Linked DNA regions of Canis lupus familiaris. The protein of the gene in region 3 interacts with the protein of the main gene of each other region in a biochemical or structural test. Links are inferred from orthologs where the notes say so. Each region holds a gene or a part of one and is shown on either strand. Other genes may lie near its edges. The genes, in order: RAC1, ARF5 and ARFIP2.

Region 1 (9,503 bases), on a different chromosome or scaffold from region 3:
TTCAGTATGTTTAGGAAACTTCTGTCCCCAGTGGGGGCTTGATAATTCCAGATTTTAAGTGGATTTGCTACCTATTGACTGGTAGAGTAGGAGTCTCTAACCTACTGGATACATCTGGAAGGGTGGGGTATCACTTCTGAGAAATGAGAACCACCTCCTGTGACTCAAGGGGTCCGGGCAGGGTGCGGCCTTTTTCTCTGAGGGAGTCATTCACAGTAAGTCAAAGGTGACTTGGCAAGATTCCCACTCTGTATGCTAGAGAACACAGAGATAAAGTAGCAGATTGAATCAGGCTGCAAGGTATGAAGCCCAACATCCAAGTGGGTGGGGGTGTTGTCCTTCTAGGGCAGGACTTTGTAAACTTTGTTTCATCTGTACAAGGTGCTAGTTTCCTGTCAAATACTTGAATGTCTAAACGGGTGGAAGGCATGATTCTTGCCCTCCAGTAGTTCACACATGTAGGTGTGTAACATACCACGTACCAGCACAGGGGGTGTCCTGGTGCTTAGAGCAAAGAGGAGAGTGGCCATCCTGCCACTAAGGACGTGCTTGCTGGCTTCTTTGGGGATGAGGAAATTGTCTTGGCTTCTGGGGGGAGGCCCTGAATGCTGTCCTACTGAGAGCAACAGGCCTGGTGGTTACAGGCTGGCATCTCAGCAGAGGGGACACCTCTAAACTTTGCACTGACTGGAACCTGGTCTCTGGTTTTTGGCTCTTTGGTCTATGGGACTCCGTGACTCATCCATGACTGTGCTCAGATACTCCTGAAGGGACAGTGGACCATTTCTTACCCAGATCTCACCCCTTACTTAGGACATTGTGACCCAGAAACATCCTGTTTCCTGTGGTCATTTAACGCTGTTCTCCTTGTTTGTAGGGTGACTCTGGGTAGCGAAGTTAAATCTGTGTGAAGCATTTGTTTCTACTTTGTTTTCCAAAAGATGGCGAGCGGGTGGTCCTTTTCAGGAGAAACTATCCTTCACGTTTTTGTTTTTCTTGATTAAGTAATCCTTCAGGCTCTTCCATCTCTGAATAAGTTACTTTAACACGCTCTTTGAAAATACCCTGTGAGTTCGGCACACTCCCCTTCAGCTGGTCTATTCGCCATCGTGGTATGGTCCGTGCAGGGCTGTATTTGCCTTCTTGTTCCGGGACTTGGTGTGAGTGGGAACACCTGGGACTTGCCAGTCACAACAAGCTCTGTGTGGGTTCTGAGAAAGCTCAACATTACCCAGCCTGCTGGCTGACGTGCCGGGCCTCTTGTGCCTGGGTCAGCCGGGACGTTTGTGTGAGCTCACCTTGAGAAGGGCTAGGCTGCTTACTGATGCTTAAAAAGAAAAACAGTAGCATTTAGCTTGGCCTTTTTTTTTTTTTTTTTTTTTTTTAGTATTTTATTTATTCATGAGAGGCAGAGGGAGAAGCAGGCTCCATGCAGGGAGCCCAATGTGGGACTCGATCCCGGGTCTCTGGTATCACTCCCTGAGCCAAAGGCAGGCACTTAACCTCTGAGCCACCCAGGTGTCTCAGCTATTTTGATTTTCATATGGCTTTCTACTTTAAATTGGCTGTTACAGGATTTGTGTCCTCCAGCCAGAGGTTATTGGGAACACACTTGTGGCTGAAAGAAATTGGGTTTGTTCTCTGCCCTGAGCCGGACGTCCACCTGGGGGCTCGAGAAGGCAGAACTTGCTCTGGATTGGGTGCTGGCTAGAAGCAGGGTAGTTTTAGGGATGCCCTAATCTCCTCTACAAGGTGGGGATGAAGCCGTGACTGGTGCAGAGATAGGCATGCAGTCCCCTTGTCTGGGAGAGGGGGATGTTTGGTGTTTTTATAATTTGTACGGTGACCTTGTATTTGAGGTTAGACAAGATTGTGAAGTGTTCTTCTATTTATTTCTTTATTTTTGTGTTCATGCCAGCATGGTCAAATAGTGACCTCTTCTAACCCCAGCACTCTGGGAGATGGTCCCATTCAATGGGAACTTGCCATAACCAAGCTGTGAGCACTGGGCTGGCTCCCAGGTGTCAGGGCTGCTCTTCGCTTTCTCCAGAGCATGTTTTCTTAGCTCCTCCTGGATGCCACATGCGTAGTGTCTTTGCCCTGTTTGTGTGTCTCATGCTGCTTTTCTCAGTTCATAGAATACCCGTAGTAAAAAATATTCCAAGTCTGAAAGTAAAAGCCAGGTGGAAGGCCTCGGAGAGGAGGATCTAGAAGAGCCCCACCACCCCACAGTCTGTCTGCTCATATCCTGCTAGGAGCCACTCGTCTCTCTATGGTCCCCCTTCACACATGTAGGAGGAGACCTGCTTTGTGATACACAGGTAATGAGGGCTGGGTGGGAGCATGTGTAGTCAGAAGTGTCCTGCCAGCATGGGGAAAGCAGCTAGAGGAGAGGTAAGCTTGTGGCTCAGGACAGCTCAGGTGAGTAAAGAGGCTCCAGCACATCGGTGACCCTGGGAGGAAGGCTGAGCAGGCCAGGCCCTGCTTTGGAGCTCGGGGGTTTGCGAGGACAGGCGTTAACATGGAGATGCCCTGCCAGCCATGAGCAGCGTGGACTCTGTGCAGGGCGTTGGTTTAGAAGGCCGAGGTGGGAAAGACTTGCTGCTGGAAGAGATAAGTGTCAGAAGCATAAGACATTTTATTTATTTTTAATTAATTTTTTTTTAGGAAAACTAGTTTTTTTAGGATTTTTGTTTTGCTTTTTTTGTTTTTTAGAGGATAGGGAGGGGCAGAGGGAGAGCAAGAATCCTGAGCAGGCAGTGTGGAGCCCATGACCCTGAGATCATGACCTGAGCTGAAATCAGGGGTCAGATGCCTAACTGATGACCAAGCCAGCCAGGTGCCCCTAGAAATATTTTTTTTTAATTTTTATTTATTTATGATAGAGAGAGAGAGAGAGAGGCAGAGACACAGGCAGAGGGAGAAGCAGGCTCCATGCACCGGGAGCCAGATGTGGGATTCGATCCCGGGTCTCCAGGATCGCGCCCTGGGCCAAAGGCAGGCGCCAAACCGCTGCGCCACCCAGGGATCCCCCTAGAAATATTTTTTAAAGCCATATTTTGGCTGGGGGAAGGAGGAGGAGAAAGGAACAGGCAGATGGCGTAATGTTAATGTAGGATGGAAAGCATGTTTCTTCTTCAAAAAAAATGTTCTTAAAAATTGGAAAGGGTAGAACAGATATGGTTGGAGGATATTTTGAGGCTGCATTTTTGTGGCCAATGCCCAGGAGTTTTTGTGTCACAATAAATATTTGGTGGCATGTCAAGGCCTTGGGAGCACAGATCTTCAAAAGTCGCCCATAGATTAAACCCAGGATAATTAGGGCAACTTTCATGTTGTTAGAATTGTAGATCAGAGAGACTTAAATGAGATGAAATTTAAAAAATTCTCTTGTCCATCTGTCTCTTAAAAAAAATTGTAGGTTTCTGTGTTGCTTGAAGAGCAAGTCTTTCCGATTTTTGTCGGAACAAAGGAATGAATTGATGGCACTGTGGTAAACATGAGAAATGCTGTCCCTTCTGGGCGTTCCCCTCCAAAGCTGGGGGGGGGGGGAATTAAAGGTCTCAGTGCATTTACTCCAGTAATTCAGGCCCCTAAATCCAAACTGCATTCCCAGGATTTGGGGGAAGAGAGGACCAGCACTTGCACACAGGAGGCTGGCCGTGTTCACAGCTCTCTGACTGGGCCGTGCTCCTGGGGAGTGCTTCGTCTGAGAGGCCTGTGTTTACAGACAGGTGCTCTTCCTGCGTGCGGCGGCTTCAGCTGGGCTTAGGTCTCAGACCTGGGATGGAGAGCTGTGACAGGTGTGCCTATTGCCAGTGGGAGCCAGCAGTGGCACAGGGATACCCCTTCGGTAAGGAAGGGTGCTTCCTTAACCTTTCTCACCTGGACGTGACCCGTGTGCTTTCTCAGGCGTGTTGTGGCTTCTGCTGGAAGCACACCCTCTGTGCGCTGCCATGGCTAGAAAGGAGTGCCCCCCTCCTTCCCCATATCTGCCTGACATCTTGTCTTCACCCTCGTTGACCTTCACAGGGTTTGATGAACTGTTTGGTGGTATTTGTCAGTTGCTTTCAGATCCTTTAGGAGGGTTGAGACAATTCTGATGAAGAAATAATGGATTATATTGACTTGCATTTTCCTCAGTTTTTACTAAACTCAGACAAAGTTCTCATGCATTACTAGGTTGGAGAAACGTATGGTAAGGATATACCCTCCAGGGGCAAAGACAAGCTGATTGCCGTATGTAAAACTTTCAATCCACTTCAGTTTCAAGCTTTATCTGTTCTCTCATTTCACTTAGTTTTCCCAGAATTTCCTGTTGAGCCTCATGTTCCTTGAGTGTTTTAAATTTAATTCACTCAAGGTTGGGGTTTTGTTTGATAAAATGTGCTTTCAGTAGAGCGAGACAGTTTACCTACTAGCTTGAATTAAAGTGGTTTGTGAACTGCTTGCTCCCCTCCTCCCAAGGGGAAGGAGGAACTTTTATGAAGGGGCCTCTTCAGGCGGGTTGGAGATGAAGGTGTGGAGCCCCCTGCCCCAAGCCCACCATGGAGCCCATGCTTGAGCCCAAGGGGGACTAACCGTGGCTGCCAGGGCCTCCTCCGCTGTGGTATCCGGTGTGCGGGCCTGTCTGCGGCATGGCTGTGCGGTGCTGGTGAGCTAACCCACCTTTGCTTTGAAGTGACGTAATCAGGTGCCAAAATGCCGAGGTGATTCTTGGACGAGCCTGTGCATGCGCTAGCGTTTGGAAAATGTCATTTTAAAAAAGCTGTTGTGTGGGATGTTTCTCTCCCTTTCCAGGTACAAGACATCAGCTGGATTGGTGAAAGTGTTAGCTTGGGAATTGGGTACATTTCACAAAGCATAGCTGCCTTTTTCCAGGAAAATGTCTTATAAACCTAGCATTTTAGAAACTCTTAAGCATTTTTAAGTACAGGTAAATATTTTAGTTTGGCTTCTTACACAATACAGAATGGGAGATATGTTTTACATTCAGTCAGAAAATCTTCCAGGTATTTAGTCTGCACTGACTTTTCCTCTGAATCTCCACTTTGCCACTGCCGCACGCTCTAAGTCCTGCAGAGAACCCCACTTGGGATTGAGAAGCTGATAGCCAGGAGAGGCCACTTACACACAAGATTGCCCTTCTGCACAGTGGTTGTGCTCACTGAGCAAACCACTGAGCCCCACTCCGGGCCAAGGGACTCTGGTGGCAGTTCTTAAAGCAGCAGTTTAATTGCACCCCAGTGGTCCACTATACATGTACTTAATGTGCACATGAGGAGTTTACTGAAAAGCACACTGTTGATAAAGGTTTTTAAAATCAACTCTGCTTTTGATAAATGGAGATCACATTTTACAGAAATATTGGAGTGGTAGCTTGATTTTGTCCCTATATATAATAGGAACATTAAATTCCGGGGTGGAGGGGATAAATTCCCAGGGGGAGTTGGAAATGATGGAGAAGAAGCCTCTGGGGGTTCTGATTTGAGGTCCCCCCTGGCCTCCAGTAAATTTGAGCACATTCTAGTAAATCCTCTCCCCCCTTTCAGAAGTAACTGGCTGCTTCATGTGCTGGCTCTGGTTTGGGAGCCTTCTGACAGAACTGAAGGGGGGAACCAGGAAGCAAGCTTTAGACACAAGCTGCTGGTACATATACGCAGTTCGTCTCATGATTCATTCCCAACAGCATTTACAAAGCAAAGTGCATTCATCATTGTAAGACCATTTCTAAACGCCTCCCTGTTTCCTTTTTATAGGATGTATTCTTAATTTGCTTTTCTCTTGTGAGTCCTGCATCATTTGAAAATGTTCGAGCAAAGGTAAGTGGGGAATGTTTTAGAGGAACATCTTGTTATGTAATGTCTCCTTGGGAAGCAAAAATAACACTTGGTGATAGGAGTTTTAATTATTTAAATTGATGTTGTAATTCTACTTAGGTAGCAAATCAGTTTTGAAGTATATGACTTTATTATGTAGAGTTCTGAAGTTTCAGGGCCTGATTCAGAAACGCTTTGTTCCTTGCTAAAGTAGTGAGCACTTTGGAGTCTGCCTGATGGGGTTGTCTAATAAAAATAGTGACCATGACTTTCCACTGCTGCCCTGGTCACTTGTGAAAAATGACATGTGCAGGATGTCCTCCAGTTGTGGTCAGGGATGTGTTCAGTGGGGCTCATGGTGGCAGAGCTGAGACCTCAGTCGATAGTTGACTTTTTTGCTGAATAGGGAGGTTTCTCAAGAGACCATCTAAGAATTTAACTCATTTTACCAAGAGGTAGTGGTTTGGGGGAGGGGGATGTTCCCTCCTTGCCTGTTCTTGGGAGTCCCAGCTTGCTATTCGAATGCCCACAGGTAGGCCCGTGGTTCTGGAAGGTATTGCAAGGTGAGCAGGGCTGAAGGGTGGGATGCTGTGTCTTGTTGAGGACTCTGCAGCAACTAAGGAGTGGCTGACAGTTTGACACCTGTGGGGATGTAATTTAGGCAAAAGAGGTTCATCAGGGAGGGTGTGGTGACTCTCTTCCTCTCTTACATTTAGTGGTACCCTGAAGTGCGACACCACTGTCCCAACACCCCTATCATCTTGGTGGGGACTAAACTTGATCTCAGGGACGACAAAGACACGATTGAGAAACTGAAGGAGAAGAAGCTGACTCCCATCACCTACCCACAGGGTCTGGCCATGGCTAAGGAGATCGGTAGGAAATCTGCATTTTCACATCTGCTTTGCACGTGCTTTTATTTTCATGGCAGAGACAGGAGTCCAGTCTGTGGGAAGTAAAGAGCATGTTTTTCTGACTCAGGCTATGGTTGACTTCTGGGGAGCCAGCCAGGCAAAGCTCTCAGTGTGAGCGCTCAGTAGGTGAGCTCCGGGTGCAGGTCAGGGGTTGCTCTGCTGTGCCCAGCGGGCTGTCAGGAGTCTGGGCCTGGGGAGCTGCTTCCTGCCCTCCTCCTGGACAGAAGGGTGGGCTCCACATGTGGCTATGAGGCTGTGTTTCTCGGCAGGTGCTGTAAAATACCTGGAGTGCTCTGCTCTCACGCAGCGAGGCCTCAAGACAGTGTTTGATGAAGCTATTCGAGCGGTTCTCTGCCCCCCTCCCGTCAAGAAGAGGAAGAGAAAATGCCTGCTGTTGTAAATGTTGGGTTCCCCTGCCCCATCCCCCTCAGAACCTTTGTACGCTTTGCTCAAAAATGGTGGAGCCTTCGCACTCAATGCCAAGTTTTTGTTACAGATTAGTTTTTCCATAAAACCATTTGAACCAATCAGTAATTTTTAGGTTTTGTTTAAAGTGTAAGACTTCAAACTTTCACATTAAAATTTAGCCCTAAAATGGCCAGCTTTCTTAAAGCCTTATTTTTCAAAAGCCCCTATTCTTGCTCAGATTAAGAGTTGCCAAAATACCTTGTGAACTAAGTTGCATTGTGCTGAGAACACTAAGCACTAAACCGTTCAAGATCCCTGTCCTTCAGAAGAGACGGCAGTGTCTCAGGTTTGGACCTGCAGACCTGTGCTTGCTAGTTTCCAGTAGGAAAGCCGCACAGCCTCCTCGAGCTGTTGCCACATTGCCATCTAAGCCCGTGGCCACGCCCTAACTGTACTGTATGTCCTCACGGAAGGAGCATAATGACTCAATTCTTTGGATCAGTCTTTTTGATTTTGTAGTGAAATTTTTTTAAAAAGTTAGTGTATTCGCTTTTGCTGACATTTTGAACAGACCTCTCACTCCCATGTTCCTCCAATGAGGGCGGGGGGCACAGCACGTGACGCGATCAAAGGATAAAGACAGTATTTTGACAAAATCCGGAGGTTAATTTACACTACATTGTACACGTCATAATCAAACTGAATAAAAGTGTCACGGGTAAAATTTTAAAAGGTTAATTTCTGTCAAATGCAGTAAATGAAGAAAGGTCGGTATTATCACTAAGTGTTTTAAGCTTTTCCTTTTTCTTAGACCTGCCATCCTTCCTGAAATTGGGCATTTAATTCATCTTTGAACTGGTTGTACCCATAGTTGCTAACTTAGTGCTTTTCTTATAGAACCCCTTCTTAACGAGCAATATGCCTCCTTGTATTATAAAATCTTTCTGATAATGCATTAGAAATTTTTTTTTGTAGATTAGTAAAGTGCATTCCTGTTTCCTTGTTACTTTATTCAAAGCTAATAAGCACTCTCCTTAGTTTTCTAGTAACTAGGTGTAAAAATCATGTGTTGCAGCTTTACAGTTTTTGAAATATTTTAGATATTCCTAAACTATGAACTTTCTTAACATCACTGTCTTGCCAGATCACCAATACTGTCCCCTGACTAACGCTGGCCCTCCTCTGCCTCACCCCCCGGACACACGCTTCCCGTTGCCCTGCCTGACCATGTTCCCTTGGGTCTGTGACATTCTGTAAGCCCGTGCTTGTGCTAACGAAGTTCTGTACGACTTACCCACTGGCAAGAATACAAGGTTGGACCTCTCAACCAATAAAATAGAACAACATTTTTTAAATTGACAGTTACAGAATCGTGGAGTGTTTTTACATTGATCTTTTGCTAATGCAATTAGCAGTATGTTTTGCATGTATGACTTAATAAATCCTTGAATCATATGATTGTGATACTTGAATTCTTAAGAGCTCGAGCAATTTCCTGGGGTGTGTTCGGTTGTCTCACCTGAAAATCCTGGGTTGTGGGAAACCTAATTCCCAGTGCATGTTTTCATACTGGAGGGCTTGGAAGGGGCCCCTCCTGGAGAGGAGCTGGGGAATCAGGTTGGGTTCTGCACCTCCTGAATGCTGGGGAGACCTAGGTGACATCCACACTGGGGTGCATGTGCATACATCCTGGGCCAGAGCTCTGGGCTGAGGCAGACGGTGGCAGCCTGATAGGGAAGAGGCTAATGATGACTTTGAATCAGATTCTTTCTGGAGCCTGAAACTGTACTATGAACTGGTCATGTTAGAATCAGTTTTTTAAGTAATCCTTTTTATTGCTCTGAAGATCGCTTTGAGTATTTTTTAAAGAGTTTAAAAACCACATAATTCTAGGGATGCCTGGGTGCTCAGCAGTTGAGGTTTGCCTTCGGCTCAGGGCATGATCTCGGGTCCTGGGAGCAAGTCCCGCATCGGGCTCCCCATGGGGAGCCTGCTTCTCCCTCTACCTAGGTCTCTGCCTCTCTCTCTCTCTGGGTCTCTTATGAATTAAAAAAAAAGATCATGTAATTCTAAAGGTTTGCTACAAAAACAGCAGCCTTCTCTCTTCACACCGTCCCCAAAGGCAGTCAATTTGAGTTCTTTTAACTGTTTCTCTCCATATGTCTAAGTGATGCCCTTTTTTTTTTAAACCTACTAGATCACCAGTTATGAAAGGATGGATAGACTCCCAACAGCCAGATGGAAGAGATGCCTAGATGCCTAGGGCCAGGTATGGGGGAGGGGCATGGAGCCTCCCCAAATCTCCACATGCTCCCCAGCCTGTAAGCTACACCCACCCCCCATTCTTACAGGTTTTTTTCTA
Region 2 (10,159 bases), on a different chromosome or scaffold from region 3:
GGTTTAGAGAGGAGGAGACAGAGAGAAGGAGACCTGTGAGCAAAATCCTGGGGTAGGAGGGTCTCAGCCTAGTAGTGACAAAGGCTAGGAAAATGATTAGGTTGAAAGTGTACCCCAGGCACCACACACTCACACACATATGAAAGAAAGAGAGAGAGAGAGAATGTGAAAGAGCAAGCTTGGCCACTGGGAAAAACAACTCCAGTACAGGTTTGCTTTGTTACCTGTCTCCGGCCCAAACCCTTTGCAGTAGCCGTGACCGTATTCTTATAAGCCTCAGAAGTGAGGTAGGATCCTGCCCAGCTGATGAGCCCAACCCTCAGCTCCTCAGGGTTGGGTCTTCGTGTCCACTCCACCTCATCCATGGGGCCGGCACCACAGGTGATGACTCTGTCCGGCCCTGCCTTCCCCCCAGTGGTGCGGTTCCACAGGCCATAGGGCCTGGAATCAGGCCTGTAGTACCCACCAGAAGAAGTTCCCGGAGAGAATTTCTCAGGCAGAGGCTGGCCTAGGGCCCAGCACCTCTGTGACCCGGGAGCATTGTGACTGTGAAGGCTGCCTCTTATCCACAGTGAGGAAAGGGCACTGGCCTGGCAATGTCAATCCACAGCCCAGAGGAAGTAGGTCTAGGGCTTCTGGCGTTAACCTCCCACGCAACTCCAGACACCAAGGTAGGCTGAGCTGAGACTGGGAATCAGAATTTTGGCCTGTGCTGGTGCTCACCTGTGACTATAGGCAAACATCGTCTTCACTTGTTTCCCATTTTAATCACAGGATAAAAACCAGCCTCTTTCATCCCTAGGAAGTAACTTCTGCTTGGCTCCCTTGGGACTCAAGTGTTTTTTAAAGTTCAAGATATCCAGGAAAAATCTATTAACTTTTACAGCCCTTGGGAGAATGAGGCCAAAATGTCTCAGAAGGTACTTTTCAGGAAATGTGAGGAAACCCTAGATAGATAACCAGCAAGGATCAAATTACTCATATTCATCAGAAAGGGCTAGCTCAGAGCAGGGGAAGGAAAATGTTCTAGATGGGAAGAGCACTGGGCATCTCCCTCAGAATCCCCAGCTGCACTGCTGCTGGGCACATGGCTAGTGCACCCTTTCCTTCAAAGGGTCCCTGTTGGCCAACAGCCTCTGGGACTCACTTCTTACAAAGCTCATGGAGAAAATCAGTCCAGAACCTAGAGAAATTGACATGAAAGGAGAAAGGCAAGAAGAAATAATGGTGGTGATGGTAGGTTTTAAGCTTTGCTGGGATTCAAAGAATGGATAGTGTGAACCACACTTGGACAATAGCCCACCCTCCTGGTTCCATACATACATTTTCCTAGGCCTCCGTGGTGGGGGTGTGGTAGTACAGGGCAGGGGTGTCTTCCCAGGTAGGAGGTCCAGTGCACAGTGAGGAGCTTTCACCCCCAAGGATTAAAAGGGTCCTACCAATGTTTTATAAAATAAGGCTAAGAGACTACTAGTGACACAATCACCAGTGTAATTTTAAAGATTCAGATTCTTGGGCTTCAGACCAGTCCTTATGAATCATATTTCTTGAAGTACACCTCAGGACCGTATTTTTAATAAATATTCCCCCTCCTCCTCCATATTAATGTTCATAGTAATCATTAAGAACCACTGCTCTAAGTAGCTAGGAGATAGAGAGGAACAGAATGTATGGGATTTACAGATTCACGAAGGTAGAGCCTGTTTACTCTCAACAAAGCTCCCCTGGAATTGGGGAGGGAATGTGGTACCTGAGGTACTTGTACCCTCGAGAATAAGGAGGGTGAAGCTGAGCTATATGAAGGCAGCAGTGTGTCCGCAGGCACGCTGGTGGGAGGGTTGGCGCCTACAGCCTTAGCTGCTTTGAGTCTCCCCCATATCATATTGTCTCTTTGTACCCAACAACACCCCCCCCCCCATTCTAGGCTACAGACAACACTGTGTAGAAACCACAGCAAATTTATTACTCAATATCCATCATAGCACCACCCGGAGCCCTCACCTCCCCTCCCCACCTGGCCCCAAGGGTACACCCAAAATGGAAAAAACAAAAGTAAACCCAGATCCCTGCTCCTCCTCTGGAAGAAAGGGCCTCAGCCCTGGAAGTCCCTTCCACAGTCCGAGCAGGCAGGAGAGCAGACCCCTCCGTGCCCGGAGAGTGAGACTCCAGGCTCAGATGACAGAGACAACATGCAGGCAGGAGCAGGAGCAGAGGCCTGTGTCTGTGGGAGAGGAGTGGGAGGGAAGGGCACCGCCTGAGGAGTCCGGGAATCTGGTTGTCCCGGGGATGCACGCGGGAGCTTCCGGGCAGCAGGGGCCGGCCCCTGGTTGGTTAGCGCTTTGACAGCTCATGGGACAGCCAGTCGAGCCCATCATACAAGCCTGTGCCTTGGGTGGCACAGGTGGCCTGAACATACCACTGCGGGGAAAAGGAAAGAATGATCAGCAGCAAGGAAGAAAAGGGGATGCCCTGACTTCCCGCCCCAGCCTGTGGCTCCCTTGGGAGAGGGAGCACCCTCACCGTGCGGCTGCGCAAATGCTGCAGCCCCAGCTTGTCGGTCAGCTCGCTCACAGGCATGGCGTTGGGCATGTCCTGCTTGTTGGCAAACACCAGCAGCACCGCATCCCGCAGCTCATCCTCCTGCAGCTGAGGGAGGTGAAGGGGATGGAGTCTGGAGTCCTAGCGGAGTCTCCAGGCTTCCTCTTCCCCACTGTGTAGGGGAGCACCCTTTCCTACCTCCTACCAGATTTGTGGGAAAAAAAAAAAGTAATACTGCGTAGTCTACTGCTGAACACAAGACAGAGTCATAAATCAGCTTGGAGCCATTTGGACTTATATCCAGAAAGACCCTTTTTCTAATGACTTGCCCTAGTCAAAATGACATTTCCAAATGGGAAAACAAGAATGTAAGATGATATTTCTCTCCACCACATATAATTCCTCCTTTCCCCACCAACTTCTCAGATATGAAGACATGAAAATTCAAGGAAAAAGTCAGTCATATGCCTTTCACCCAACTCAAATTCAAAACAGGGTGAGATACTCCTTGTGTCTGCATCCACAAAGGGAGACATTCAAAGCCTGTAAGCTATTTCCTGACTTTCATGTTAGCACAGAGATCTCAGAGATCTGTCTCCAACGAGGGCTCAGCAACCAGGGCTCTGGGTGCTCACCATCTTCTGGAGTTCATCAGCAGATTCCTGGACCCGCTCTCGGTCATTACTGTCCACTACGAAGATGAGGCCCTGGGTGGGAAGGAAGAAAAGACAAGCAATCACTCTCACCTGGGACATAGCCTAGTCTGGCTCTTTCTCTTTTCCCCATCTTTGTGTCTAAACCTTCTCATCTAGTAAATTTTCACTAAGGTTCTGCAGACATGCTGGCACAAACTGGCGACACCCTGCGAAGGATACAGACTCTGCCCTCAGGCAAGCAGTGTAGCTAGAAGAAGTGCAAGGGAACAGGGAAAGATGAGACCAGAGCTAAATGAGGCAGCATGAGTGCACCCAGCTGGCTCAGTCAGTAGAGCATACAACTCTTGATCTCGGAGTTGTGAGTTCAAGGCCCACATTGGGTGAAAGCTTACTTTAAAAATAAATAAATAAACGAGGCCACATGGCCTCAGATCCCTGCTTCTCAGGAGATGCATAAGGTGGCTAAGTCTCAGAAGACTATGGCCATTTCTGAAGGATGAATAGAAGCAAGCCTACAGATGAGAACAGAAGGAGGTTAAGGTTTTTTTTTTTTTTTCCTGGCTTGGGGGCCTATGCCAACATCTTGGTTTGGAGCTCTAACACCTTTTCTCTGGGGGTTGGGGAGCCCCACCCCACCTGAGTGTTCTGGAAGTAGTGCCGCCACAGAGGCCGAATCTTGTCCTGGCCTCCCACGTCCCAGACTGTGAAACAAATGTTCTTGTATTCTACTGTTTCCACATTGAAGCCTGGAGATAATGGGGAAAAAATATGAGAACAAAGTCCTGAAAGAAAGGAACTCATTAAATCTGGGTGGATTCATCAGAGACATATAAAACCAGAAGGCAACGACGAAGTCCCATGGGAACAGAACCGCAGAGGACCGGCAGTCCACAGACCAGGCGGGGCTAGGTCACATTCACCCTGCCTCGGCACCATCCAGCAACTAAAGGTAACTGTGACCCACTTCTCAGGTGGCAGTGTCTGGTGTCAGGGTCAGCTCACTGCACGGAGATAAGGGCCTCAGGCAGAATGGGGAGCAGCCCCTGAGGCGGCCTCCCATCAGCCTCCCGCTCCTCCCCGCCTCGCCTCAGAACTCACCTATGGTGGGGATGGTGGTGACAATCTCCCCCAACTTCAGTTTGTACAGAATTGTGGTCTTGCCAGCTGCATCCAAGCCAACTGCAACGGAGAGGGGCATAGGGATGGAGACGGGAGCGAGGGAGCCCTCTAGAGATCAGGGAAGGGGAGAGGCCAGGACAGCTGATGGAGACTGGGGCGGAGAGCCCTAGCGCCTGCAGGTGCGCGCTGTCCTCCACCTTCGAGGCCTTGAGAGCAGTCTGGGTGGTGAGCACCAACTCGTGCCCCGAAGCGGGCGAGAGGCGGGAGAGGGGTAGGGGTAAGGGGTCGAGGAGGAGGGCTGCGCTCCTCTTAAAAGTCGTCTCCAAGGGCGGAATCCTCCCTTCTTACCAGCCTGGCTGGGGCGGAGGGAGCTTCACCCCACCCAGGCCCGCAGCTCCCGGGCTCAGGCCCCGGGGTCGGCGCTGCAGATCGCGACCCGCCCGAGAGCAGTGACCGCAGGGGGGTTAGGCGGCGGGTGACTCGGGTTCAGAGACCCGGCTGAGCTGGGCTCGGAGGGACGCGGGGGCGGGAGGGCTGCGCGGGGGCCGACGCTCCGGTCCGGGCCGCGCGCTTGATCTGCCTCACCCATGAGGATCCGCATCTGCTTCTTCCCGAAGATCCGCGAAAAGAGCGCGGACACGGTGAGGCCCATGGCGGGGCCCGGGGGAGGGGGTGCGGGCTCGGACGCGGGGTGCGGGCTGGAACCGGCCGGCCGCTGGGGGATGGGGCGCAGCAGCAGGAGGAGGAGGCTCCGCCGCCGCCTCCGCGCGTCCCGGCCCGCCCTACGTCATCGCGGCCCCGCCCCCGGCCGGGCCCCGCCCCCGCCCCGCCCCTTCCCCGCCCCCAGGCTCCCGCTCGGGCTAAATCTGAAGCTCAGCGAGTCTCCGCTTGCTCGCCGCGTCCCGCGCAGGCTTAAAGAGGGGAAGGGTCTGGGTTTCCCCTCGTTTCTCGAGGGCCGGCAGATCTGTGGCTGCTTCACCGGCAGCCCGAGCGGGGCCGAGGAAAGTTTACAATGCTCCCCAACGGCCCCTGACCCTCAGCTTAAGTGGCCGGCCTCTCGGGCTTTGGTTTGTCGCGTCCAGCCCACCCTGCTTTCTGGTTTAGTTAGCTCTAGCGAACTAGCACCATCCACTGTATGCACCACCCTCCTAGGGGAGCGGAAGCTCTGTGATGCGTCTTAGTCTGCTTTGGCCCCTCAGCGCCCAGAGAGGGGCTTTGAGCGTTGCAGGTAGTTCAAGTGACTGTAGAATCTCGAGAGGAGTGAGAAAGAGAGGTGGTGGAAAAAGGGTGTCCAAGCGCTAGCTGGCCTTCTTGGTTTTGCAATCAGCATGTTGTCCTGCATGCTGGACAACAACGCCTTTGCGTCGATGGCCCCGGGCACAATGCTTTTCAGTAGATCCAGGCAGCTTTTCTGAAGCTTCTTCACTTTGCCAGAGACCTGGGAACCCGGATTTTTAATGCACACCTATCCAGGAATTTATGAAACTCTTGTGGCTTTAGACTCAAAGTGCTTCGTAAGTAATTTTCCCACTCAGCAACCAAGGGGGAAATAGCAAGACAGGAATTAATTTAAATTGTGTCTATGGTTGAGAGTGGGTCAGTGCCAGGCACCTAATATATGCTCAATAAATACAGTACTTGCTGGTTTGAATGGACTAATAGGCTGCTCAGTGGAGCAAGGACAAGCAATTTGAAACTGGATTGCCAGGAGGCTTCTAGGATCAATTGCTTAGGGACTGGACATGGTGAGGGGAGCTGAGAGTCAGAGAACCTTTATTCATTCAGTCACTCAACAAATATTGAATGCCCACTATGGACCATTGTTCCAGGTCTCAGTCAAATCTCAGTTCTGTCCCCACCCACCCCCTCTTTTGGAGGGTTTAGCTTCAATCCTCACAACTCATTTATTTTCTACAGAAGGAAACTAATATCTGCCCTATCTAATGAGGTTATGGTGAAGATTAAAATGATAATATATCTGTATGTCTGTATGGTGCAGCTGGATGTTATCTGGGCCACTAAGAAACTAATTAGGTCTGAATAGACCTCCAGGGTCTGCCCCATCCTGACCTGAAAAGTCTGTAAAGAGAACAGACTCTGGGCACTAGGTATGAGTGAGTCCATGACTTTCCTTTACTCTTCAGCCATAGACTTGCGTTCCTAAGAAGGCTTTTTACAAGGTTGAAGAGTGCATTTAAAAGAGTCTCGATATAATAACTAGTGACCGAGTCAGGTCAGTTCTACAGCTTTTTTAGCTCTTTTAATTAGCTTCTTCCTTTGCCCTATTGTCATTGCCCTATTTCATTACCATATCCTCTTCCTTAGGACAAAAATAGTGTCCTTACCAGTCGGCTGCCCCTTGGTATCTTCAACCTGTCATACAAGTCTGGATGATGCCACTCAAGATTAAAATTGTTTAGTGTCTTCTTAGCACCCAAGATAAAATCGAAAGGCCTTAATTTGTCTCCACCTATTGTGCCAGCCCCATCTGTTGCCACCTCCTTCACATACCCTAAGCTACTGCCATGAAATGATTCTCAATGCTTCCTGGGTAAACCAGCCTCTCTGATGCTGTAGGAGTCTGTTGCAATCTTTCCCCTCTACCAGGAATGCTTGTTTCCCTCATCTTTAGTTAGATGGACAATTGCTACTCATGCTTCAAATCCCTGAGTATTTTCCCTGAGAACATTCTCTGCCTCCCCTAGACAGGCCGCCCTCCTCTTCACTTCCATGTCACTTTGAAAATCCCCATACATACTGGTATCAGAGCAGGACTTGTGTTTGTAACACTAGATAGAAGAAGCACCTTGAGGACAGGACCTTATCTCTTCAGAGTGGTCACCTGGAGCAGCACTTGGTGAGAGTTAGACACATATAGGTAGAATTCCTAGTTGTGTGACCTTGGGCATGTTATTTAACCTGTGTCTCATGTTTCCATCCACTGAGCAGAATAACTCCAAGGGCTTAATATCAAAACTCTCGTGAAGGTCCTGGAATACAGTTGGCACATACGATGAGGGTCATGGCCATAGGGTGCTCTCTACAGATATTTGTTGAATCAACTCAGCAGAACTCAGGAAAGGTGCTAATAATTTTTTTAAAGATTATTATTTTTAAAACTTACTTATTCATGAGAGACACACGGGGCGGGGGGCGGGGGGGGGGGAGGGGAGAGGCAGAGACACAGGCAGAGGGAGAAGCAGGCTCCATGCCTCCATGCCTCCCTTCAGGGAGCCCGACGTGGGACTCGATCCCCAGACCCCAGCATCACGTCCTGGGCTGAAGGCGGCGCTAAACCGCTGAGCCACCCGGGCTGCCCAATGTGCTAATAATTTTTATACTATATACCTAATAGGTGCCAAAACTGTCCTATCAAGGCTTACAGTTTTCGTGGTCTAAGTGGGAGTCTTACTTGTTGATCTTTAGCGACAGAGCTAAATGTGGGGAAGCGTCGCTCATCCGGGTGTTTGAGGAGGACCCAGCGTGACGCTGCGCACTGCTCCTCGCTCATCGGAGCCCGAGGGTGGGCTCAGGCGCCCCCACCATACCATTATCACTCCGGAATCCGGGCTTGGTGGTCCGGCGCTCGCAGCCGCTCTGAGCTCTGAACAGGCCGCCTCCCACCCACCGGCCGAAGTAACTCCACCCGCCACGCGCCCCCTGGGGGGCGGGGCCAGCTGCGTCACGTGTCGTCACTTCCAGCGGACCCGGAAGCGCCGTTCTCTGGCAACTGCGGTTAGGAAGTGGGGATGGGATTGCGCTCCGTTTAAACTCTTGGCCGGCCGTGGGCTGAGGGCCGGCCGGGACTGCTGTGGCCTGGGCGAGCGCGGAGCGTGGGGCGGCTTCTGGGACAGTACAGGCGACCTCCGCCGTGTGCTCCTGGAGCCCGCGTCGCCCCGCCTCTAGGATCGGACCCGCCCCCGCCCTCGGTGCCTGGGACCCCGCGGGCGCTTCTGCCCGGCTGCCCAGCGCTCTGCATCCGGTCTCCGACAGCGGGGAGGAGCGGGTGTGCGGCTTCGGGGACATTCCGTCCCTGTCGTTTACTGCCCCCGCCAAGGTCTCCGCGGGCCTCTTCTGACTGACGTCGAGCAACCCGTCCTGAACATGGAGAAGTTTGGCATGAATTTCGGGGGCGGACCGAGCAAGAAGGACCTGCTGGAGACCATTGAGACGCAGAAGAAGCAGCTCCTGCAGTACCAGGCACGTCTCAAGGATGTGGTCCGCGCCTATAAAAGTCTACTGAAAGAGAAGGAGGCTCTAGAGGCCAGCATTAAGGTGCTGTCGGTGTCCCACGAGGCGGATGTGGGCCTCACAGGCGTCCAGCCTCCAGGCCTCTCTTTCCCTGACTCTGCGGATGACCGATGCTCCACTCACAGCGAAGATAGCACTGGGACAGCCACGAGCTTGGATACTGCGGCCAGTCTCACCAGCACCAAGGGTGAGTTTGGGGTAGAGGATGACAGGCTGGCTCGTGGCCCACCACCTCCAAAGTCCGAAGAAGCCAGCGGATCAGAGAGTGGCGTTAGCAGTAGCAGTGGAGATGGAGCATCTGGGGGTGGAGAAGTGGACAAACGGCTGCACCAGCTGAAGACTCAGTTGGCTACTTTGACCAGCTCTTTGGCTACAGTCACCCAGGAGAAGTCTCGCATGGAAGCTTCTTACCTGGCTGACAAGAAGAAGATGAAACAGGACTTAGAGGATACCAGTAAAAAGGCAGAGGAGGAGAGGGGCCGTCTGGAGGGAGAATTGAAGGGGCTGCAGGAGCAGATAGCAGAAACCAAAGCCCGACTTATCACCCAGCAGCATGATCGGGCCCAAGAGCAGAGTGACCATGCTGTGATGCTTCGTGAGCTCCAGAAACTGCTGCAGGAGGAGAGGACTCAGCGCCAGGACTTGGAGCTTCGGCTGGAAGAGACCCGAGAGGTCCTGGCGGGGCGGGCATATGCAGCCGGTCAGATGGAAGGGTTTGAACTGCAGACCAAGCAGCTGACCCGTGAGGTGGAGGACTTGAAAGGTGAGCTACAAGCTCTTCGAGAAGAGAAGAATCGGCCAGACCCTCGGCTGCAGGAGCTTCAGGAAGAGGCCGCTTGCCTTAAGAGCCATTTCCAGGCTCAGTTGCAGCAGGAAATGAGAAAGGTAATTATTGTCATGTCCTTCAAACATTAGTCATTTAGCCTGAAGTGGAAAACATTAGGGTTTTTTCTCCTTTGGTAATTAGAATTAAGTGGCTGCACTGTTGATTTTTGATGCTATTCAGAGTGTTGCACTGGGAAATATGGGAAATCCTGGAAAATCTGTTCCGTGGGGTGTTGACAGTATCCACAGAATGCACTTCCAACAGGATGTGGACTCTATTAGTGTAAGGCTGGTTTGGAGCCAGACGCCTCTGAACTTCTGGGCAGTGGCATCTTACCAGCTGTGCTCTGTGGAGCATTAGAGTGGCAGCTGTGCGGTGAAAGGAGTGTGTATGCCTACGGGTGTATGTATTATTTAGGTAGTGGTATATGCCTGGGGGATCAGGAGGTGCAAAAGGAATCTTCTCAGAAGTACCCTCTTATAATTGCTTCTCAACAGTTTGCCTGTTTAGGAAAGATGTGCTATTTTACAGTGCTCCTTTCAGTGTGGAGAGAGATCCAACTGAGTTGTGAACTTCTGAGAATATTGGGAGAGGAAAAGAATGTCATGTGATTTCTTAGTAGGATTTGGGGAAACATGATAAAGATAATACGCTTCGAAAAAAAAAAAAAAGATAATACGCTTCGTATGTGAGCCTTGTTTATGGTAGGAGAAACTGAAGCACTAAAGCAGAACAACAGATTTACAGAGGTTCTTAATATTGTTTGGTA
Region 3 (10,248 bases):
GCTGGGGGAGGAGCAGGCTCTCAGACTGCTCCTGAAACCTGTAACTTTGGTTATCTGGCCTCTGCTTTTCTGGCTTGATAGGATTTGGGTGTATGATTAGACTGAGCATTTCTCCACCCAGCCCACCCTCCTAGAGCCCCCCACAAATTGACCTCACTGGGCCTGCTTTTATGAAAGGTTTATTCCTAGTGCTAGGTCCCAATCTTCCAGGGCTCTAAGCACAATTAAACTGGGTGGGTAGGAGAGGGGAAGCCCATTCAGATGCAGGGCCAGAAATGGGGCTCCCCATTCTCCCCACCCCTTTGGTCCCAGTCCCCCCTTCTCTGCAATGGGGACGCATAGAGGAGGGACAAAGGGTACTGGAGGCAACGTCATTGGCCCAGGGGAGCCCGAGAAGAGCTGCCATTGGCTGACAGGGCCTTTGAGGCTCTGCCATTGGTCAGGGGGCACACCCCAGGAGCTGGGGACAGGCCTGAGGAGTGATGCCATTGGCCAAGGAGTGGTTTTGTCATAGCCTTTGGCTGTGGAGTGGAAGGAAAAGATCTGGGAATGAAGCCCAGAGGCCAGGAAGATAAAGGACAGGGCAACAGCTGCTGGCCCTGCAAGCCCCCTCCCTACCCACAGCAGTGTGGGCAAAACTGGGTGTCAGGCCCCAGCCAGGGAAACGGAACCCAAGCCAGAGGGCAGGTGGCAAGGGAGGTCCCATGTCCAATCTCCCCCACCCTGGGACTGCCTCTCCCAATGTCCTTCTTGATAGCCAGGGTTGGTTAGAAGCAGCTCACTGCTCCTCTAGCCAGGAGGGCTTCTCAGCTCCTGGAGGCCGCAGCTTGATGTTGAACTGCTGCAGGGTCTGCTCCAGTTGTTTCTGATTCCCAGCAAAGTAGGCTGACACGGCATTGTGGAAGAGCAGCAGCTGCTTGTGCATCACCTTGATCTGGGGGTCCAGCAGGGTCAGCTGAGACTGAACTCAGATGCCCTTCTTGAGCCTGAGCCCAGACCAGGGGTAAATGGACTCTGCTCTGATGGTGCTTTAAGGGTGGGGGCTGACCTCCACTAAGGGAGTCAAAGGATAAGGGTAAATCTGATGGGAGAAACCTGATTTGATTTGCCCAGGCCTGGGGTTCTGGTACCTCAGCTCAAGGGACGATTTTTCCCCAGTTATGTTCCTGGGACCAGCAGTCAAATCCTCCAACAGAAAAGGGCCAGGGACTAGAGGGTGGGTAACTAGAAAGGTCCAGGAATTAAAGGGGTTGGGGGAAGATCCCACCCGTAAGCCAGGCTGCATTTCCCCATCCAGTGATGGGGAGGGTCTTAGGGGTAGGTCAGTGTTACAAATGGGAAGGCGGGCTAGGGTCAAAGGGGTGGGGTTGGCACCTTGTTTTCTTCCAGGAACTTGAGCTTGATGGCCACATCTCCCCGCAGCTTCTCATATTTGTCCCGATGGGCCTGGAAAGTGGCCTGGGCACTCTCGAGTCGACCACGCGTCCCTGCATCCCGGGGGCCTAGGCTCAGCTCCTCTAAGTCTGTTCGATAGGCATCATATTCCAGCCTGGGGAAGGGGTGATACAGGCTGGTCTCCACCCCTGTGTCCTCCACACATACTCTCCTTTCCTTCCACAATTTTTATGACCTCAAACTTCCACCCATGCCAGCCAACTCCCAAAACCCTGGGCCCTGCTGGTGCCCACACCTGGCAGCCTCATACTGTTTGACAGTCATGAGAGTGTCTTCCATGGTCTTGGTGACCAAAGTGTTGATGCTAGAGACAAAGAAGTTCACAGCCCCTAGCAGTGTCTCTCCATTCTTGCACAGCAGCTTCTGTGTCTCTGCATTGTAGCCAAATTCCTCCTGAGGGCAGAAGGGGAGGATAGGCCTTGAGCAACAATTCCTACCTAACTAAAGCTATAGGGCCCTCATTCCCCTCCTCCCCCAGAAGGAAAGAGCCATCAAAACTGGAACAACCAAGGACTGCTCCAGCAAGGCTCTCTTAGCCAGAAAGTTATTGGGGCCACCCCGGGGATGGCTGGGGTAGGAGTATGGGAGTGGGTTCTCAGATAAGTTCACAGGACGAGAACAGGGAAAGCTAGTGCAGCAGGCAAGGGGCGGGGAGGGGGGCTCTGATTAGGCCGAGCACCGATGCAGAGAAGGGTTACTTGTGAGGCATCTAGTGTGCCGCCTCCCCCACCCCTCCAACTTCTGAACCTCTGTACAAACCCTTAGGCTGCCTCCACAGGTGAGTGCTGCTGGGGGTAGGGCTGGGCCTACCCTGGAGGGGTTCTCCCTCTGGGCTGCAGGAGGGAGGGAGGGAGGCTGAGGGCTGACTGCCTGGGAGGGCCCGGGCCCAGTCCCCCCACCCTCTTTGGCCTGACCAAGGCACCTGAAGCTCTGGGGACTTCTGGCTGAGGTCAGCAAAGGCGTCACCTAGTGCATGCTGGGTCTGCAGCAGGCTGTAGAGGTGGGCTGTCAGTGCCCGGCCCAGCTGCAGGACACTCTCATACTTGCGCTTCGTCTCACGCAGCAACTCAATCTGCAGCTCTAGCTCCAGGTCCACAGTCCGGGAGCCTCGGCCAAATCGCTCTGATAACAGCTGCTTTGTGCACTGATTGGGAAGTGGGGGAATAGGTCAGAGACCCTAGCACCCTGCCCCCCCAACAGGTATCTACCCTAGCATCCCAAGGCTCCTCGTCTCAGACAAGGATGGGAGAGTGGAATCTGGAAGATGGGGAAAAGGTACCCAGGGGAAGTCTGGGGAAGGGGAAAGGGAAAGGTGCTTAAATCCCACCTTATATGTGTTGATGCCCCATTTCTTGACGATGTCAAACTTTTCTCCAGCGATGCCCCGAGCCACCTCATCTCCCGGGCCAGCAGGAGTGGTACTGTGAGATGGATGGCGGCCAGACCCTAAAGAACCAAGTTCTTTGACACCAGCCTCTCTGATATAACCAGACATCTCTGTGGCTCCACCCATACTTCCCACCGACCCCACTATGAAATGACTTTCCACCGACTTCCCACCATGAAAATGACTTCTCTGAAGTAGCAGAAACTAGAAATTCTCCTACTCACTAGGAAGAACTCATACCTTGTGCCCTGAAACCCAAATCCCAATATATATCTGGCCTCCTCCTGAGATGGTGATGGGGGCTGGAGTGGGGGGAGGGAGGGAGTTGCTGATGTACAGGGGCAGAGAAAACAGAAGAAAATATGCTGAGTATTGGGTGGCAGGTCAAGGATGGTGGGTTCCTGACAATAGGAAATCTCATTGACGTTCTCATGTGGAATCCTAGTCAGTGTGAAATTCAGGGCTATTTGCTTCTCTAAACTTGAGAATCTGAAGCAAAACTTTGAGAAGCTTCAGAGTTCCAAATAAGTCTCAAGCTCCAAAGCAGGAGAACTTCTGCAAAACAGTTCGTAATGTGATTCAGGTGGTGGCAGCAAAGAAAGGACAAATGGACACATCTCAGGGCTAAATGGCAAGCGGGAGCAGTTGGACAGCCCTAGGCTCTAGCCTTGGGCTGAGTAGAGTCCATTGGGCTTGTACTAGCAAGAGTTCCCAAAATCTCCAGACATAGTTCAAGCTATCTTAGGCATATCCTATACTCCCCAGAACCATTCCACTCCCTCTGTCCATTCAAGCTTCCTGTCCTGTTCTGATCATTCATACCTGTGGGGATGAGTCCATCACCAGAGCCCCCATAGCCACCAGACACAATGCTGGTTTCATTGAGGTTGGGTCCTGACACCATCACCTGCTGGAGGTCCTATAGGCCAGAGAAGAGGGGGGCTTCAGGAACATTGGGGCAGCTGAAGCATTTGGGGGGTGAGAACAAGCTTGGATTGAAGCATCACAGAGAGAGCACACAAGGGAAGTCTGCATAGAATCAGAATGAAGATATGTAAAGATTGGAGGGAGTTAGATAAGTTAGGGGAAAACTCCTGGAATGGGGTGAGAGCCCAGGGCTTATGATTTTGGACTCCTAAATTGAAACAATATGGAGAAGAATCAAACAGAAGCACCTGCTCCAGCCCATCATCCTCAGGAAGCTGCCCGGCTTCACCGTTCCCGTGGATGGGGATCTCCATTGTGGCTGCCTTCCCTAGGATCCCGTCCGTCATGGCTAGGGAAGGGATTGGAGTCAAAGTCTCCACCCCAGCGCCCTGCAAAGCCCAACACAGACAGTTCTGGAAACTAGCCAGTACTCCCGAAAGAAAAGTCTCCCCCACCATTTCAGAGATTTTAGAGGTTGTCCCAAGACTTGAGTATCCTGGGGTTCGGCCACCACTCCTTTCTTCTCGTAGATATGTATTTCTCCCCTCCAGGGTGTGTATCTTTCCACATGCACACCCAGGTCCCCAGTATCTTCTCACGGACCCCCAACCCCACCAGGACTCAGGTGATCACTCATGCGTTCAACCATTCAACAGACTACTATTTGAGGTCACAGCAGTGGCCAAGGGAGAGAAAGTCTGTGCTGTTTTGGAACTTACCCCCATGCAGCTGTTTCCTCCCATCAGATTAACCCCTTTCCAGGGCTCAGGAGCCTACTCCTCCCGCTCTGGTATGTTCTCCATTGCTTGGCCTCTCACACTCCCTTAGGGTTGCTTCCCCTTTCCTTCAGGTGGTCTCTCCCTCCTCCATCCCATGCACCCCCTCCTCCTGCAGCCCTCCCCCTGCAGGCCCTAGTTGAATCAGTTGGTGTCCGTTCTTGGCCTCTGGGAAAAGCCACATTTTCCCAGCACATAGTGATCCCTTCCAAAGTCAGTTATGTCCCCCAGGTGTGTTAGTCCCCGCCCCCCCCCCACCCCACACCTGGGCATCAGGTGTGTCCTCATCCTTCCCCAGGGCTCTGTAGCATCTTTCCCTCGGGGCAGGCTCGTGCATTCAACTTCCCCTTGCCCAAGTATGTCCTTCTCACCTCGGGCCGGGCCGCTCTTCCCCTCAGGGCGCCAGGCCCGGGCCGCGCGGGGACCTCGGGCTCCAGTTCCCGTCGCGATCCTAGCAGCAGGTCAGGGACTCGGCGGAAGTGACGTCCCCTCCCGGGCAGAAGAAGCCGGCCACGTCGCAGACTATAAGGGCGGAGATGACGTTAAAGCCAGGGGCGGGGCGATCCTTGAGGCAACCCCTCAGTCCCCGGGGAGCCAGGAGAGGTCACTTCCGGGGCGTTACCAAGAGGCTGTGCGGAAGTGACGTGCGTGCGCCGGTGGCGCGATGGAGCCGCAGCAGCAGCAGCAGCAGCAGCAGCAGCTGAGGAACGTGAGTGGGTGCTAAGTCGCGACGGGGCCATCAGTTCAGCTGGCATCTTCGTCCGTTTGGCTGGAGGGCGGAGGGTTGGGAACGTCGCGCTCTGGCGCGCCGTCCTGGGAAACCTCGAGGGCGCGGCCTCGAGGTGCCCCCTTATCGCTGGGCTCTTTGTCCCCTTCTCTCCTAGTTGCGGGACTTCCTGTTGGTCTACAATCGGATGACGGAACTCTGCTTCCAGCGCTGCGTGCCCAGCTTGCACCACCGAGCTCTGGACGCTGAAGAGGTTAGGTGGGGTTCGCCGTAGACTGTCCCCAACCTCCACCGCCCCTACCTCTGGCCCGGGCCTTTCCATGACCCTTGCCCCTGGGCCAGGGATGGGACGGACACCAGTGGACACCAATGCTTCACCCTGTCTTCCTTCCAGGAGGCCTGTCTGCACAGCTGTGCTGGGAAGCTGATCCATTCCAACCACCGCCTCATGGCCGCTTACGTGCAGCTCATGCCGGCTCTGGTACAGCGCCGCATCGCAGACTACGAGGCTGCCTCAGCTGGGCCAGGTGTTGCTGCAGAACAGCCCGGAACCTCACCATCAGGCAGCTAGGAAGGGAGGCGCTGGATGGACCCTCAAACTGAAGGAGCCAGTGGACCTTGGGCTGGATGCAGCCCATATATAGAGTGAGGGGTTGTCTGACAGCTGGGTAGTATTGCTCCTTTTCTTGGAGCCAATAAACCCACTTTTGCACTGTTTGATTTATGTTCTGGGCACGGAAGCTTTGCCCGCTTTATTGGCCCCATCCTTTATCCTGTCAGCGCATATCTGTTGGCTTCAGCCCTGGCAGTGGAGAAATTGGCTTCTATGTGTAGAAGGAAAACCTCAACATTTCCTGGCACCTGGTTAAAACAAGGCCTGTGGGTACAATTTTTTCTTTTGTAAAGAGTTTATTTATTCACGAGACACACAGAGAGCGGCAGAGACATAGGCAGAGGGAGAAGCAGAGGCTCCCTGTGGGGAGCCCGATGCCGGACTTGATCCCAGAACCCCAGGATCCTACCCTGAGCCAAAAGCAGACGCTCAATGGCTGAGCCACCCAGGTGCATCTTACTTAATTCTTTCTTTTTTTTAAAGATTTTGTTTATTTATTTATGTGAGAGAGAGAGAGAGAATGAGCAGGGGGAGGGGCAGAGAGAGAAGCAGACTCCGGGCCTAGCAGGGAGCCAGATGCGGGGCTTGATCCCAGGGCCCTGGGATTATGACTTGAGCCAAAGACAGACACTTAACCAACTGCACCCAGGCACCCCTGTGGTACGATTTTAATGTTAGTAATAGCAATAGGAAGTTGGTTCCTGCCCAGATGGCAGAGAAAATAAGAGCTCTTCTTGTTGTCCTTCACTTAAATCTGACTTAATGGTTTATTTGTGAGCTGGGTGTGCATTCATTTATAACTCTTTTCATGGGCTCTAAAGAATTCTCCTAAATTTAGGGGAAGGAGGAGATACCTAAGAATAACAGATCAAGAAATCACAGGGTTTTTGTATGCAGTGCCTTCTGGAAAGTCAGTAGCCCCGTAACTGAAATGAAACCTGTAAGATTTCGGGGTGTTCTGGAACTTCAGCCATTTTCCCAAGTTGTTATTTTCTTATTATTTTCTGTCTTCCCCAGGATGAGCAGTAAAGCTTTTACACAAAGAAGGTCTGTGTGCTTGTCTTCAGGAGCAGTCAGAAAGGGGGAACTTGGAGGACCATATTCTACAATATAGCCAGACCCAAGGAACAAAAGCTCAGGGGAGAAATAGATGATGATGGTTATGGGGAAAAAGATAAAACAAATCCTTGGGACCTCTTTATCGTTACCTCCAAGTCTATAATCTAATTCCAGCTCTTCTGTCCTCTACCCATCATTGTTTTCATTGTCCCGGTTTTGTTATTTCCATGCTGAGCCTCTCTATCTTTCTCTCATTTATTGCCCTCATAAAATTTACTTGTGCCACCATTCTAAATGGCCTATCACCCCATCACCGCATTTTCTTGCCTCCCTTGTGTCCTTTTTGTATCATTCCAGCTGTTTTACCTTTACTGTTCTTCTGTTCAGACTGCTAGACAAAAACACAGCTGTGTAATGAGTGGCACTAACCATTCAAGGTCTCCAGCGTCAACCAACAAGCAACCCTTTGTGGCTTCCTGGTATATTTTTGTCTCCTAATCACCAAGGCAGTTAGTTTACACCTTCACTGCTCTTATCCCCCATTTCACGTTCAGCTATCCTCCATCAGGGGACCATGTTTCATTTTTTACGGAGGAAATGGAAGCTCTTAGACATTGGCTCCCATAAAACTCCTTACAACTACCCACAAAGCAGACATTTTTTCCCCTATGTGGATCAGGAAGTTGAAATTCTCTAGTAGCAGACTTTATTAAGATACAGATTAAGATATTAATCTGTATCTTAATATTAAGATATTAATATCTTTTTAAGATACAGATACAGATCTGGCTTTAAAATCCATGCACTTCTGGGCAGCCCCAGGGGCTCAGTGGTTTAGTGCCACCTTCAGTCCAGGGCGTGATCCTGGAGACTGAGGATCGAGTCCTGTGTCAGGCTCCCTGCGTGGAGCCTGCTTCTCCCTCTGCCTGTGTCTCTGCCTCTCTCTCTCTTTGTCTCTCATGAATAAATAAATAAATAAATAAGTAAATAAATAAATAAATAATCTTTTTTAAAAAAATAAAATCCATGTACTTTTTATTACACCAGGCTGCCTCTCAAAATACCATTGAGCCATCTGATTTGTATGGGTTCCAGTGCTGGTATATGTCCTGCTTTATCTCAGCCTTTTTTTTTTTTTTTTTTTAGATTTTATTTATTCATGAGAGATGTAGAGACAGAAGAGAAGCAGGCTCCCTAGGCTGCTGCAGGACTCGATCCCAGGACCCTGGGGTCACACCCTGAGCTGAAGGCAAATGCTCAACCACTGAGTCACCCAGGCATCCCTATTTTAATCTATAGCAAAACTACAAGTAAGAGATATTATTCCCCACTTAATGGATGAGGAAGCAAGAATCCAGAATGTATCAGAGCCCCATGTTTACGTAGTTACCTCTTGAGAAAAGTTGCTCCAAATGGCTTTTCATCTCTTTAGTTCCTATATCTTCAACAGATGGTTGCTAGGAATGTACAAGCTGCTGACCAGGAAATTCCCTACTGAATGGGTTTGTGTCTACTCATTAAAATTTTCTCCTTGGAACGTAAAACTTCAGCTAAAGCAGCTTGTGAACTTAACCAGTTCCAAGACAGGAATGGAGACCTTGAATACTGTGCTGCTGGTGGGAGGACTCTTCCGTGGACATTTGCGTGTATCCTTGCAGTAAATTTCCATTGCGAATCATCTGTTTCCATGTCACATAATTACTACTTGCTGGAGCAGGGCTGAGAAAGATCTGTCTTGACTCTAGAGGCTATGTTCTTTGAATTTCCAGAATTTATATTTGTTTGCTCATGTGCACCCAGCCTGTCCCTAGGGATGAAAAAACAAGTATCCATCAATTAATCCCTTAAGTTTTTAACCTCTTCTTCCCTCTCTGTTTATAAATACGTTCAGTACGTAGAAGAACTCTACTGTTGCTACCTATCTCCTGTAGTCACTGACATCTTCCTCAGGTCTCATCATAAAGTGACGTCCATTGGCGTAATGAAAGCAGTGTGATGTTTCAAGCATGACACAAGAATTTTTTTTTTTTTTAAGATTTTATTTATTTATTATGAGAGATACAGAGAGGGAGAGGCAGAGACACAGGCAGAGGGAGAAACAGACTCCATGCAGGGAGCCCGACATGGGACTTGATCTCGGGTCTCCAGGATCAGGCCCTGGGCTGAAGGCAGCGCTAAACTGCTGAGCCACCTGGGTTGCCCACGACACAAGAATGTTAACAAAGCTTTATCCCTTATCACATCATTTTGGAGACAGAGTTGATGTTCTTGCCATTGTGACTTCAGAACTTAACTGCCTATTCCTTTGCAAAATCAGATTCCTTTGGGCCTATTGAACTATACTACCCTTCCTCATTACTGGTCCTTAGGAACCACTGCTCTCCTACTTTCCTCGAAATGGCTAGCCCTTGGTTTTCCTATCAACCCCTTGGTACTTTAATGTTACTGGATAGTCCATTCAGTATTTTGGTTTCTCAGTCCCTTTTCTCATTCTTCAATAATTTCCACTCTGTCTTATCCACCCACTCCCTTAGCTATGTCCTAGCCATTGTCATTTCCCCCAAACTGCTCCATCTTTAATACACTATTTACTGACTATTCCTTCCACTTTGTTTATTGATTTATTCCTTTACTATTATTCTTTGGTTTTGCTGGAGCATTCAAACCATTGATTCTACCTTCATTCCATTAACACCTCTGTCTTTAGATTCCTATCCAGCTTAAATTCCAGTCATTCTCTTGGAACAGGCTACTCCTGTTTTTTGTCATCTCTTTGTTGGACTCAGATAAAATGAGGTATTTGTCTGCCTGCATTTGGACAGCTAAAAGCTGAAGGAAATCACTACAGAGCAGATTTATATCACTGAATTTGTGGTTACCAGCATCAAATGGAGTCTCAACCCCTATAATCCCACTAGATTTTTCCAGTCTCCGATGCTCCCTGCAATGACTTTTTTGAATCAATATTCTTAAGCCTGTTATTACCCTAACTATTCTCTTCAATTTTGTGCAGGTAACTTTATTTTTTAATTCATAGGTTAAAAAAAAAAAAAAAAAAAAAAGCTGACAGTTGGGAGCTACCACAAAATCTCACAACAAAACTTGGTCACCCACCTGTATCTGCATCTTTCTCTCATTCCCTCCATCTAAGCAGGGCAAACATGCCAATGCCTATTCCTGCTCTGAATTCTAGTCCTTCTTTGGGAATCTCTGACTTTTTCCTATTTCACTCTATTCTCACCATCGTTCAAACATGCTAGAAACTCCCCTGTTACAACAAACAAACCACTTCCTTTATTCCTCT

What was found.
Region 1: the proteins of ARFIP2 (region 3) and RAC1 form a complex in vitro, tested with the Homo sapiens proteins (2 studies listed by BioGRID and IntAct, with this or other methods). The link is inferred for Canis lupus familiaris from reciprocal best matches to the Homo sapiens genes ARFIP2 and RAC1.
Region 2: the proteins of ARFIP2 (region 3) and ARF5 form a complex in vitro, tested with the Homo sapiens proteins (2 studies listed by BioGRID). The link is inferred for Canis lupus familiaris from reciprocal best matches to the Homo sapiens genes ARFIP2 and ARF5.

The regions. Positions count from the first base shown.
Region 1 is NC_049227.1:11,834,042-11,843,544, forward strand, and holds the end of RAC1 (ras-related C3 botulinum toxin substrate 1 precursor), read left to right. Parts: intron 1-5,759; coding exon 5,760-5,822; intron 5,823-6,535; coding exon 6,536-6,695; intron 6,696-7,002; coding exon 7,003-7,133; 3' UTR 7,134-7,271; downstream 7,272-9,503. UniProt on the Homo sapiens protein: Plasma membrane-associated small GTPase which cycles between active GTP-bound and inactive GDP-bound states.
Region 2 is NC_049235.1:8,596,357-8,606,515, forward strand, and holds ARF5 (ADP-ribosylation factor 5), read right to left. Parts: upstream 5,072-10,159; 5' UTR 4,966-5,071; coding exon 4,899-4,965; intron 4,374-4,898; coding exon 4,293-4,373; intron 3,941-4,292; coding exon 3,831-3,940; intron 3,246-3,830; coding exon 3,174-3,245; intron 2,647-3,173; coding exon 2,521-2,646; intron 2,419-2,520; coding exon 2,332-2,418; 3' UTR 1,941-2,331; downstream 1-1,940. Other genes in the region: FSCN3 (fascin-3), read right to left, coding at 225-365; GCC1 (GRIP and coiled-coil domain-containing protein 1), read left to right, coding at 8,418-9,449.
Region 3 is NC_049242.1:30,301,262-30,311,509, forward strand, and holds ARFIP2 (arfaptin-2), read right to left. Parts: upstream 5,068-10,248; 5' UTR 4,917-5,067; intron 4,159-4,916; 5' UTR 4,117-4,158; coding exon 4,018-4,116; intron 3,762-4,017; coding exon 3,665-3,761; intron 2,902-3,664; coding exon 2,783-2,901; intron 2,600-2,782; coding exon 2,378-2,599; intron 1,849-2,377; coding exon 1,691-1,848; intron 1,550-1,690; coding exon 1,375-1,549; intron 935-1,374; coding exon 779-934; 3' UTR 163-778; downstream 1-162. Other genes in the region: TIMM10B (mitochondrial import inner membrane translocase subunit Tim10 B), read left to right, coding at 5,210-5,254, 5,430-5,525, 5,667-5,843. UniProt on the Homo sapiens protein: Plays a role in constitutive metalloproteinase (MMP) secretion from the trans Golgi network. May have important functions during vesicle biogenesis at certain cargo subdomains, which could be predominantly utilized by secreted MMPs, such as MMP7 and MMP2.